2 linked regions of the Xenopus tropicalis genome follow. Each later gene encodes a partner of the first gene's protein in a complex. Links are inferred from orthologs where the notes say so. Each region holds a gene or a part of one and is shown on either strand. Other genes may lie near its edges.

Evidence for each region. The genes of interacting proteins can lie anywhere in the genome.
Region 2: gins3 (region 1) and mcm5 share a complex: the UniProt entries of both Homo sapiens proteins name them as parts of the CMG helicase complex. The link is inferred for Xenopus tropicalis from reciprocal best matches to the Homo sapiens genes GINS3 and MCM5.

What each region holds. Positions count from the first base shown.
Region 1 is NC_030680.2:75,817,098-75,823,121, reverse strand, and holds the start of gins3 (DNA replication complex GINS protein PSF3), read right to left. Parts: upstream 3,696-6,024; 5' UTR 3,692-3,695; coding exon 3,524-3,691; intron 802-3,523; coding exon 568-801; intron 1-567. UniProt on the Homo sapiens protein: Required for correct functioning of the GINS complex, a complex that plays an essential role in the initiation of DNA replication, and progression of DNA replication forks.
Region 2 is NC_030680.2:115,591,572-115,597,578, reverse strand, and holds the start of mcm5 (DNA replication licensing factor mcm5), read right to left. Parts: upstream 4,001-6,007; 5' UTR 3,986-4,000; coding exon 3,816-3,985; intron 3,142-3,815; coding exon 3,015-3,141; intron 2,838-3,014; coding exon 2,709-2,837; intron 2,387-2,708; coding exon 2,214-2,386; intron 1,905-2,213; coding exon 1,749-1,904; intron 1,375-1,748; coding exon 1,208-1,374; intron 977-1,207; coding exon 805-976; intron 29-804; coding exon 1-28. UniProt on the Homo sapiens protein: Acts as a component of the MCM2-7 complex (MCM complex) which is the replicative helicase essential for 'once per cell cycle' DNA replication initiation and elongation in eukaryotic cells.

The DNA of each region.
Region 1 (6,024 bases):
ACCTTTACCCATCTAATGTATGTATGTATGTATGTATATCTTTATTTATAAAGCGCTACTTATGTACGCAGCGCTGTACAGTAGAATACATTAATACAAACAGGGTGTTAATAAGATAATAGATAAATACAAAGTATAATAATAAATACAGATAAATACAGCAGCAATAAGGTAAGAGTCGAGGACACAAGAGGAAGGAGGTCCCTGCCCCGTAGAGCTTACAATCTATATGGGAGGGGTAACTAACAGACACAAATAGGCAAATATAAGTGCTAATAGGCAAATATAAGTGCTAAGTAACTATATTCATTCTAGCTAGACCCATGCTCCGACTTCTTTAAAGGTCTTTATTTAAATAGTGTGAATTTTTTAATAACTTTATTAATGATGTGAATTTCCAGGAAGTCAAAACTCCTAAAGTCTGGGTCCTGAATTGAACGGCTTTGCACTGAAGGGCACTTTCATGTTGCTTTGAATAGTACTGTGCTACCTAAGGAAGAAAATATTTTCATGCTGCAGCTAAATTTTAACATAAACTTGAAATAATTACCACAATGCAATAATTACCTGCAATATTGTCTTTGCAATTTCTGGGTTTTCTGGACTGTCAAAGTTGAGAAGTTGGGAGCCAAAGCCATAATAATGAGGTCCCATCTTGTGCAGGTCCACGACATTGGCATCAGCACTGAAAACAGTTCGCCAGCCTTCTCGGTAAATCTTTGGTAGCTCTACCGAAAGTACACGCCGTTTGTTGTCATAAAGACCTTTCGCCAGCCATAATGGAAGTTCCATTTTGCTACCCTAACAAAAAAGGAATTATTACAGTAATTAAGTTCAGTGGTCATTATGTATAACACCTGCTTGGATACAAAAGATGAAAACTGGTATTTTAAGCAAGGGAGGCTTAATATTTCATTATGTAGTACTGAATAAGGCAATTACATGGTAGGGTACACACTTCAAGCTTCAAGAGAAAATTAAAAACCAATTTTGCACACACTGAAGGAAAAATGTCTGCATTTTAGTGAAAAGAGACACGTTGCATTACACGGTTTGTACAAAGTATGCATAAGCTGACGCGCCCGTCAAGGCAGTGTCCTTGCGTCAGTCCTAACCTAGCGAAAAAGAGAGTATATTTTCTTTGGTGGAAGAAAGACCATACCTGCTTTTCTCTTTATATGGCATGACCTATTCCAAAGAAACCATTCCGCAATTAAGCTTATAAACACCTTCTTGCAAAAAAAAAAAAAACTGCAAGGCTATCCTTAAAGGGGCGAGGTTGGGAGAGCAAGCATTCAATTAGGGAATAGCCACTTCCCCTTACCACACAAATATATACAAAAAAATACAGCTCATCCCATGAATCAATCCAAACTAATTGGGTGCACACAGGTGAGTGGCTTGTATTATATACTATACACATTACCCAGGCACTCCATTATATAGCTTTGGTTTAGTTTTTAATTTTCTCTTGAAGCTATATAATGGAGTGCTGGAGTAATGTATATAGTATATAATATAAGCCAAGCCACTCACCTATGTGCCCCCAATTGGTTTTGATTGATTCATGGGATGAGTTGCATTTTTATAATATATATATATATATATATACATACATATACACATAAAGATAATTAGATAGATAGAGGTGCCATTTGCAATACTTTACTAGTACCAAAATGTTTCCATTACTTCATTACTTCAGATCAAATATTCTAATGATGTTCTTGAATGTGATTCACTTGTAAATGACAATTTTTTACACCAATGTCAAATCTAAATATACTATTTAACAGACTTTTCCTCATATCCTTCTGGTCTATGTACAGCCTGTTATGCACAACTGTGCTGGACCAATCTGTTCTCATTTATAAAACAACAACATTTTTAATTAACGTATAATGATATGTTGCTTTCAATTACATTTTCTTTGACATTTTTCCCTGTCCATTACGGAAATGGCAAACAAGGAGTTTTGTTACCCGTGGGTAACAATGTGGGGATCATGGCATGTAAATCACTTGAAAAGTTCAGGCATAAAAAAAAGCTGTATCACCGCATATAAACTATTTCAAGTGAAGGGAAAGGTAATTTCAGCAGATTTGTCATTTGTATGTAGCACAGATTCCCCACAGGCAACAAACCTTGTGTGCCAGTGCCCCTAAGGGGAAAAATAAGCATACATTAACTGGGTGCAAGCTATCCTTTTCGTTCTTTCTTTGCACAGCTTGCACTTATGCAGTAGAGTGAAAAGCTAAACTTTAACAAAAAAATGTTGCTTTTTCACTGTACTGCACATGTATTGGTCCCAGGATCGAGAAGAAAGAAGACAGGAGGAAGAGGATCGCTCGCAGTTACCCTGGCCCAGTTCTGCTTACAGGATTACTGGCCTGGGGTATCAGATAGTGATTACAGTCACTGGGGGTGCCTAGTATTTTGGCAACTCCCAGTAATTGTACCTTTACTACATCATAACCCCTTCTGGCTTCTTGTACTGGGTGCCCCAGACCAATTAGAAATTACCCAAATGTCCAATAGTTCTTAAGCCAAGAAACACTATTTAGAGCATTTTTTGGCTACAGAGTACCTTTACTGACACTGTCATGTCTACGGGAGGCAATAATTTGAAGTTATTTTTAGCCAGACAAAAAGTGCACCATGTACCAACAGCACTAAGACTGATGGCAAACCAGTTTACCCAGTCAGTGGAGAAACACTTGTCCATGCCACCTGCCTGTCACAGAACGTACAGGAGGATTTCAACCCATGGCCCAAGGTAAACCATTCTAAAACTGCATGCACTCAGTTGGAACACTCACTTCTCAGTTCTTGTGTTTTTCTGGAAGCACGGTCTCTTGTCTCCGCTTTAGCACAATAATTCCCCCCAGGCACACAGCATCTGTACTTAGTTTGCCGAAATGTGAGAATGAACTTTATTGGCCTACATAGAGTCCTAACCCAACTGAACACCTGAGGTTAACTGCAGGACAGTCTGTAACCCGGGGCTCCCCAACCTGTTTTTACCCATGAGCCACAGTCAAATGTAGTAACAGCTGGGGAGCATCCCTGGGGTACCGAATAAGAGCTGTGATTGGCTATTTGGTAGCCCCAATGTAGATTGGTAGCCTACAGGAGACTCTTCTGGCAGTAAACCTGGTTTTTGTGCAACCAAATCTTGCTTCCAATTTAAAAAAAGCACCTGCTTAAGGCCACTGGGAGCAACATCCAAGGGGTTGGCGAGTGACATGTTGCTCATGAGCCTCTGGCTGGGGATCACTGCTGTAAGCCATGCCTGTTTGCCCAGCATCAGTGCCCAAGCTCATTAATGCTGTTGTGGCTACACAGAACTTGACTATAATAGAACTGCTAAAGTAAACTCATTTTCAAAGGCAACACATTAAAACGCCCAGTGTTAATCCAATGGAATGAAAGGTAAATTTGCAGGAGCACAATGATGGATTGCCCATATGAATCCATGACCACCCAGAAAAGCTACATTTATTATTGCATCACCCAAAGTCACCTCAGGGATGCTGTCGCTGTCACCACCTTTCTCTAGGAAGCCGAGCCGAGGGAAGCCGCTCTCTACACGGCAAGGTAATTTTTCCTGTGACATTAACAAATCTTCTATGGAAAGGAAATTCTCCTCCCTGCCCAAGCCGGGCTCAACTGGCATGTAGGGTTCCCACATTATGAATGATATCCTCTTCTACCAATCTGCAAAGGGAACCAGCTAGCGAAAATGGCTGCAGCACCACAAATTGAATGAATCTCCCGCGTTGCTGCGGTCCTGCCCACTACCGCGTCTCAAGCCTCGTTTTCATAGTGTCATGTATTCTGCTGTAGTCTGAACTATCGTGAAATCTTGTGGTTGTTTGGTTTTGATTCAATTAGTGTTTGTTTTCGGCTTGGTAATCTGATTAATAACATCATTGTTTAAGTTGTGTAATACAATATTATTTTAGCCTTATAATATTCCTTAGTTTGGAGGAATGAGTTTGCAATTGCAGTCGTCTGAGCCTTGCTAGTACTACGATGATGCAGCAGTGAGTGTTAAGGAGTGATCATTTCCTTAACCAGGACTGCGTTTGAGATCATAATTCTATCTCCTGTGGAGCTGAGAGACACAGCTTTAATTAGGGTTGCTACCGTTTATGGAAAAACATACAGGCTTTCCTATATAACAATGGCTCAAAGCCACATTTTTACCTGCTAGTCCGTATAATAGAGGTTGTCAGACTTTTTCAGTTTAAGCCCGAGTTGGAGGTTCAACCTTTTTCTCTGCATAGCCCCGATAATATCTTAGACAGCAAATACGTTGTTACCTTGAATCGGCAAAATAAACGTTCACCCCATGCCTCATCTTAATTGGCCTTCAGGGTCTGCCCACCACTGCCTCAAGCCACCCCAGAAGGGCCAGCTGCACAATTGTTGAAACCTTTGGTATACATGAATCTTCACAAATGATAAGGACATTGTCACGATCACGCCACTCTTAGACGCACGTGACACTGGGATGAGGAAACGGGGTTACACTCAGTAAGGTTACCTAAGGTTAGACTAACATCAGACACCCCCAAACACACCACCGCCCCAAATAAATATTCAGTGCTCTCTACAACAGGTACTATTTCCCAATACACAACTGTATCACACACTCTCACTGTAGTTAGGGTTAGTGTCTACTAATTCAACAAGCACTCTAGCAGCCAAAAGGTTAAATTACAGTCAAACATACTCTCCTGCTAGCAGTCAACTAGTTAATTAGCCTATACACAGACAACTTTCCTTCTACACACAGACAAGCTGTTAATACAGTTAGCCCCAAGCGTTCATACAAGCTACGTGAAATCTTTTTAGAGCAACCGGACAAAACTTATTAAATTTTATATTTAATATTACAAGAGTAAACAGTACATATTAAAAGATATTACAAAAAGAGACATACACGTAAAATTGCAAACAGTAAATAAAATAAAAGGGAATAAAACACAGAAACCCTATTTACTTTACCAAGTTAGGAATTTCCTTTGTGTCCTCCTGAGGCAAGAGTTTGGAAACCTGAGCCCACACCCCAACAGAATTGGGACCTCAGGTATGAGCTGTTAGTAACTGGGTCTTTTGCCCTTTTATCCCCTGCTTGGACCCTTCCTCATTACCGCATGCATGAGGGGGGAGTGCCCAGGAACTTATCACTTATGACCTCCTGTAGAGGACTGCAATTCTCAGGCCAGTTTCTTGTCATATAATATTGGCACTTGACAGTATCCAATATTATTATGAAAATATGGGCTTGCTTTAACCCATATGTGGGTGATCAGAAGGATACCAAACATGAAAACTATCCCCCCTAACTGGTGGGTATTGGCTGGCCTTGTTTGGTATTTTTAGAAAGCATGTGACCTTATAACCAATATGTGATTTATGAGGATGTGAACCCTAAAGCAAAGGAGATATGGATCCCTTTTTATAATCCATATTTTCTCTTAGCTGTTCCCCCAGCATTTCTTATGTCCACAATTCACTTTCTTTGATCAATAGATCAAAGAAACCAATTGCCCCAACTTCACTGCCCAAATGGTCTGGCTCCGAACTGTCTTCTAACCCAGATAAGGGTATCACCTTCCCACAGTCCCTTGTTGCAGGTTTAATTAAGGGTCTCTGTGTGGACCCAAGGCCAAATGTTGCCAGGTTTAACCCGGGACATGCCAGAGAATTACTTCTCCGGCATGACAGACATACTGCTCTGATCAAAATAATGAAAAGAGTGCAAGCCCTGTGGACTCCTTGTTTTCCTGCTGCAACAGACTTTAGTGAGTAGCATAAAAACGGAGGAAAGGGGGTGTGACTGCACACTTGCCCACCTCTGTGGCACAATCTTTTAGCTAAGGAGGATAGTGGTTGTGAGTGTGTGTGCAGGCGCGGGTGCAAGTTTTGTTGTGGGACTATAGTTAAACCAATGGCCATAGTTTCACAGCACCTCTACCTCCAGTATATGGCATAAACTACATCTGTGAAACTGGG
Region 2 (6,007 bases), about 40 Mb from region 1:
ACCTCTTCTGGTCAATCCATCTGGAAGCCTAAAAGGAAAATATAAATGTTAACTTTCAGTGCAATACATTTAGTAGAAATGACACACTCATAGATACACCAAAATGCATAGGAACCTATGCCTGTTTTGGCAAACCATGTAGTGGTTGAAAAGAAAAAAAATGCATATTCCATCTATGTTCAGATATCATAAAACAAATCTATATTGAGCCAATGCTCACTGTTCCTTCTGTTTTTGCATGTATAAGCAAGTACTAAACTGTATAGCCATACTGAGTTTTTGGTGCACTAAGGACTCCTACTGACAAGCAACATGTTGTGCTCCACCTGTGTTCAGTGCTTACATGCGCCTGTGTGAGCAAATGATAGGGAAGAATGGTCTGCATCTGTTCCTGCATTTCCCTGTGGTGGAAAGCAGGAAGGATCCAATGCAGAGGAATGCAGGAACAGATGTTTGAGAGTATGAGCCCTAACACTATTACTTGTGTTCAAAACAATTCAAGGAAAATGGGAAAGCCAAGAGCTATGTGCAAGACTGCCAACAGTAGACCCTGATCTACAGTACACAAGCTCATTGCAGTCTAAAGGACAATTCTGCATTTAAGTAATCCCTGACAGCTTCAGTACCTGCCAAAAGCAGCACAATTCTCCATCATGCACCTAAAAAGCAGCTATAAACCATGTCAATTTTTGTTTCACTATCACAGTTCTTACTCAGAGGGGACCATGGTGGTTAAAATAGCTATGGGCCATTTGCCTATAAGGGGATATCACTGTTTTAGTTTACAGTTGACAGAAGTTTTACCTCTTGCGGGAGCCTCCAAACAGCAGGCAAGCAATGGCTTTCTTGATGTCACTACTGCCATAAATGGAGGGGGCAATACTTTTAGCAACAGTCTCATAGATATCAGGCTTTGCAGATAGGCGCCTAAACTCCTCTTCCTCTTGTGGCGTTATAGCACCTGCTGCACTTCTTCCTAAACAACGAGTAAGCAATAAATGCATATCACACATCTGACAGCTATAAGTGTTGAGTAAGTGTATGTGTTGTGCTTGGGGGAGGCAGTGGGCACCCCCTTTAGAAAATATTATTAACACTCGGGATTATATAGGAATTGTGTTCAACTGGAATGGAATGGAAAGTTCAACTGGAATGTGTTACTGTCCCTTTAAACATAGCTGCACTTTTGCATATTGCCACCTCTCACCTGTTCCTTCTGTATCCACTTGGATGCCCACTACCCTTATATAGGAACTGCGGATCCCAACTCCCACTCGATCCCGGCCCTTTGTTGAGGTCTTTCCACTCTTCCGGATTGAGTAAATACCCATGATTGTCACTCTGTTTCCAGGAACAACCTTATCACACAAGTACCTTAAATAGACATTAGGAAATTTAAATGTTTAATGTGGTATCACAATAATTTACACCAAAGCTAATAGCATTAGATATAAAAAGGCAGACTCGAAAATAAATGCATTTTAAATGGGGTTAATTTAAGCCGAGGTTACAGTGCACTTTAAATGTCTTAACCACAAGACACTGTATGGAAGAGTCTCCTGTAGCAACATTAACTCTGCAGCTAAGCATCAAATTGACAGTGATCAGAAAAAAAGCCTCTGTCTACATCCCAAAAGAAATATAGATGAAAAGGACCAATTATTTGCAAACCTATACATAGAACATACTGCATTTCTCTAATCTAGCAATATCTGTTTCATTACAAATATATTTAATTTTAAACATACCTGTCACAATACAACTGCATGTGTCTTGGAAGCTCTCCATGAGGTACAGCATCTGGAGACTCCTGAAGCTTCAGAGTTTGAAAATCTACACATTTGCACTTGTCAGGTATAATAAAGTATGGGTCCAATGGGCACTTTGGACGGCCAGCCTGTTCCCTGTGAAGAGTAACAGCAAAAGTTAAAAGAATCTAAAAGGTAAATGTTGTGCTGACTAATCAATTTTACCACAGCTAACAGCCAATTCCATCCAGTGGTGAACTATGGCTCCTAGACCTTCCCCCCATATCAACTGTTAACAGATAATGGAAATACACTCCACTTCACTAAGAATAGTACGAAGTATAAAAAGGCTTAAGAAGTTTGACAAGTTGCTTCCATTGGAAGAAAACTTTATATTACACAATCACAAGGGTCCAAGTAACATCAAAAGACATTCATGTTCCACAGAACTTCAATTACACATACGTGTTGCATTTACGTGGCATAGCATATCCCTCTAGACCAGGACGCACAGCTATGTTGCCAATTGTGTTTCGGCAGCTACGACACTGGATTGAGATCTTCGTAGCCTTGGCTCTCACAGCGGTGGCAGCAATGATAATGCCGGGAATTTTGACAAGATGAGACATTTGCTCGGACTGCAATATAACATTGGGTGAGAATATGCAATGGTTAATAAAGTGGCACAGGGATTAAATAACCCTAAGTAATATTAATGGCAGTATGTTGTGACTTCAGTGGAACAAGCTGCACCACTGACTAAGCAGGGCATAATATTTAAGTCTAGATATTTAAGCATACTTTGATGAAAATCTGACATTACCACCACTTTGAAATGAAAATATTAACAAATGTCATTTATAAAAAAAAACAAAAAAAACACAGGTATTGTAATTATATGTTTACGTAGCCATGTGACAATGCAAATTTCAAGAGACCATCAACCATAGAATTTCTCACCTTCAGGCTTCGAATATTAGCAGGGTTGGCATCAGACCGCAACATAACTTGGATTTCCTGTATAGTTTCTTCACCTGCAGGTCGTGGGCGAGTCACCTCATCTGCAACTTCCTGGGCTGCCTCTTCCAGCTGTAAATTGAGTTAAACAATGAGTAAAATCATAAAAATATATAAAATCACACACTGACTGTGACATATCTTGCTATATTATACATATACTCTACATCCCAGATGTAAAGACCTTAATACTCACAGTACTGGCAAATAACTGGCAGACTGAACACATTGGTACTAAAAGCTACTTACCAGCTGCAGATGTTCAGTTGGCTGTTTGTACAAATAATCTGCAAGGTCCTCATCAAAGCTGGCCAGGTCCTCCATTTCCACCTCTATCCAGTATTCTCCCAGATTATAGTGACGCTTGAGTTCATCTCTGTAAATAAAATATGTTGTTGAATGTATGTTATTTGGCCCTGTCACAGATACTGAGGGTTGTAAACTACAAATCTGTAAAACTATGGTCAGTCCCGATTTTGACATTGACTTAAGCACCTGCAACACCTTAAAGAGGAATATAAAGACAAAAATCCTAGTTCTTTGTGATATTTAGTCCAAAAAATAAATTGACAAAATAAACTTATTGAAAATTCTCTACCATTTTTTATGGCTTTCCTATAACAGACTTGGGAAAAAGTTTTCAGATATGAATACAGAGCTCCAGTTAGCTGTGTTTTAACTCAGTTTTACATGCTTTGCCATCTGATTTTTTTTAACACCTCCTCTTATCACAGCCACTGTGCATTATGGGTATCTCTGTACCATTAATGTAACCATGGATCTATGTCTAGGATGGAAGGACAGTAGTGGATCGGAAGTAATTACAGAACAGCACTGACACAAGTGATGGGTATGACATTTCACATGTATGTAGATGAATATACAATGTAAAAGTCCCCTTTACATGGCACTTAATGACACATGCGCTCGTATATATGTTCGGGTCATGCTCAAGCCCATTAGTAACCTCTGAATTAATCAGATCCCTTCGTTTAGGATTACACCTAACAAAATCAAACTTGTAAATCGTTACAACAAAGTGTCCCAGACCTGTATTTGAAGGTGAAGCCGGTGCGATCGGTCCCTACACGGTACTGCCTGAGGAACTCTCTGAACCGCTTCTTAAGTTGTGATTTCTTGGCTTGTCCGTCGTCACCCACCGGCTGCTCTCCGCCAAAACTATCGCTGTAGTAGATTCCAAGATCGTCAAATCCCGACATTGTAACGAAGAAAAGGGTACCAAGCACAAAAGGCGAGAGCTGCGGCCGCCAATGCACCTATTTCACAAGAACGCGCGAAATCTTTTTTTCGCGCCAAACCTCTGTAACAGCGACGATCTGTTCCGCCTCAGCTATTTCCCTATTGGTTGATACCGTTTCTAGGGACCGCCCTTCTCCTGTATCTACGGCCAATCCAGCAGTGCACGCCTTACGTAAGAGATTTCGAAGCCTGCTGAGTGGCTGGGAGTAATGGCAGCTTTTTCCCTTTCATAGGTGGGAGGGCAATGCCTGGCGCCAAACTTTACCGAAACAAAATGGAGGAAGTTGTAGCTGAGGAACAGAAAAACTAGCGTGTTCAGAGGAGTCCAATACTCTGAGGCAGTATTTTAGAACCGAGTTCTACTTGGTCTTGTTATGGTGATTTCATTCTACATTTCTATCTATTTTACTTAAAGGGATATTATGATTTTTATGGTGAACTGTTTATTTCTAGATTTCAGTGTTTACTTAACTTGCTCTACCATTTAAAGGAGAAAATCAATTCATACTTACCGAGATTTTCTTTTCCTGGCCTTCCTCCCTGGCAGCATAACATTTGGGTTTATCCTCTACCAAATGTTATGCTGCCAGGGGATGGCCAGGAAAATGTTATTCTGTGTAGGCAGCTATGTCAGTGCATTGTGCCTGAGGGGTAGATTTATTAGAGTGAGAAACTTGCTAGAGTGAAATTCTACTATTATTTTTTTAAAAGGGTGAACTTTTACACTCACTAATTGATAAATATGCTTTTAAAAATCAATGGATAGAAGCGTATGTAGGGGTTTATCAAAAATGGGCCCTTAGGACAGACACCCCTAGACTAGGCCACTGGTTGGTGTTAGTTAGCAGGGACACTGGGATGACTGGGTTCTACATAGTTAACAGGGAGTATACCTGTAGTTCGGGTTATGGCCACCGGGTGGTGCATAGGCCCATAAAAAGGGTAGCAGCCATCTTGAGCCACTTTAGGCTGGGATAGCTCCTGGGACCAGGAGCTTCCCCTGATAGAGTTATTAGATAGTAGTTTCTTGTAATAGGACATTCTAGGAGTGTCATGTAGGACACCAAGCTAGAATGGGCGGATATTGCCCCTCCAGGAGTGGTAGTGGGGTTAAGACCCCCCAGCATTACATCTGCTGGAGTGCAGGGCATTAAGTGGCTAGGTAGGTGGACAAGTCCCCGCTAGTCCAGGAGTCCGGATCTGAGGGTGCCATACGCTAGTACCGGTGTGGGTCCTTGTGGTGTAACTCCTAGCATGGGTACTGAGAACTCCAAAGGGAGGGTCTCACAGATAGTACCGGGGATAGCACCTAGATAGGAGCACATTGGGGAAACCCGTGAGGTAGTACCAACAGGAAAAGGATCTCAATGAGAAGTAAGGAGATATGCCCTGCCGTGTGTATAAATGATATGCCGCTCCTGGAGAGGTCTCTGCCTGAATAAACCATAGCATTCCTTTCATATACAACTGTGTCTGCTGTGAGTATCTACCTAGCCCAGAGGACCACTACTACGCCGGTAAGGAATAACTCAAAGAGTGAGTACATCACACCGGGAGTACGTGGGTCCCAAAGGGGCATTGTATCCTGATCGTTTCCCAGGGGGTGGAATATAGTTCCACAAGACCATCCCTGGGTGGAGGCACGCCATTTAGGGGAGAATCCCTTGTAAACCCCCATAGTAAGCGGGGGCTCAGGACTCCTGTAGCGCCAAAGTATCGTGCTCCAACGGGTAGTGCCACAACCGTGCATAAAGTGGGCTACACGTAATTTCGGTATAGTGGACTGTGGCAAGCTCTAACTTCGCTCATTGATAAATATACCCCTGAGTCTGAGCCTTCAGAAGGAGCCAGTGCTACACATTAGAACTGCTTTCAGATAACCAATCGTGTCTCCTCCTCCCATGTAACGGGAGGAGTCCCAAGCCAGACTTGGATTTTTTACTATTGGCTGCTATTCTGATATCTACAACTTTTAGCAACGC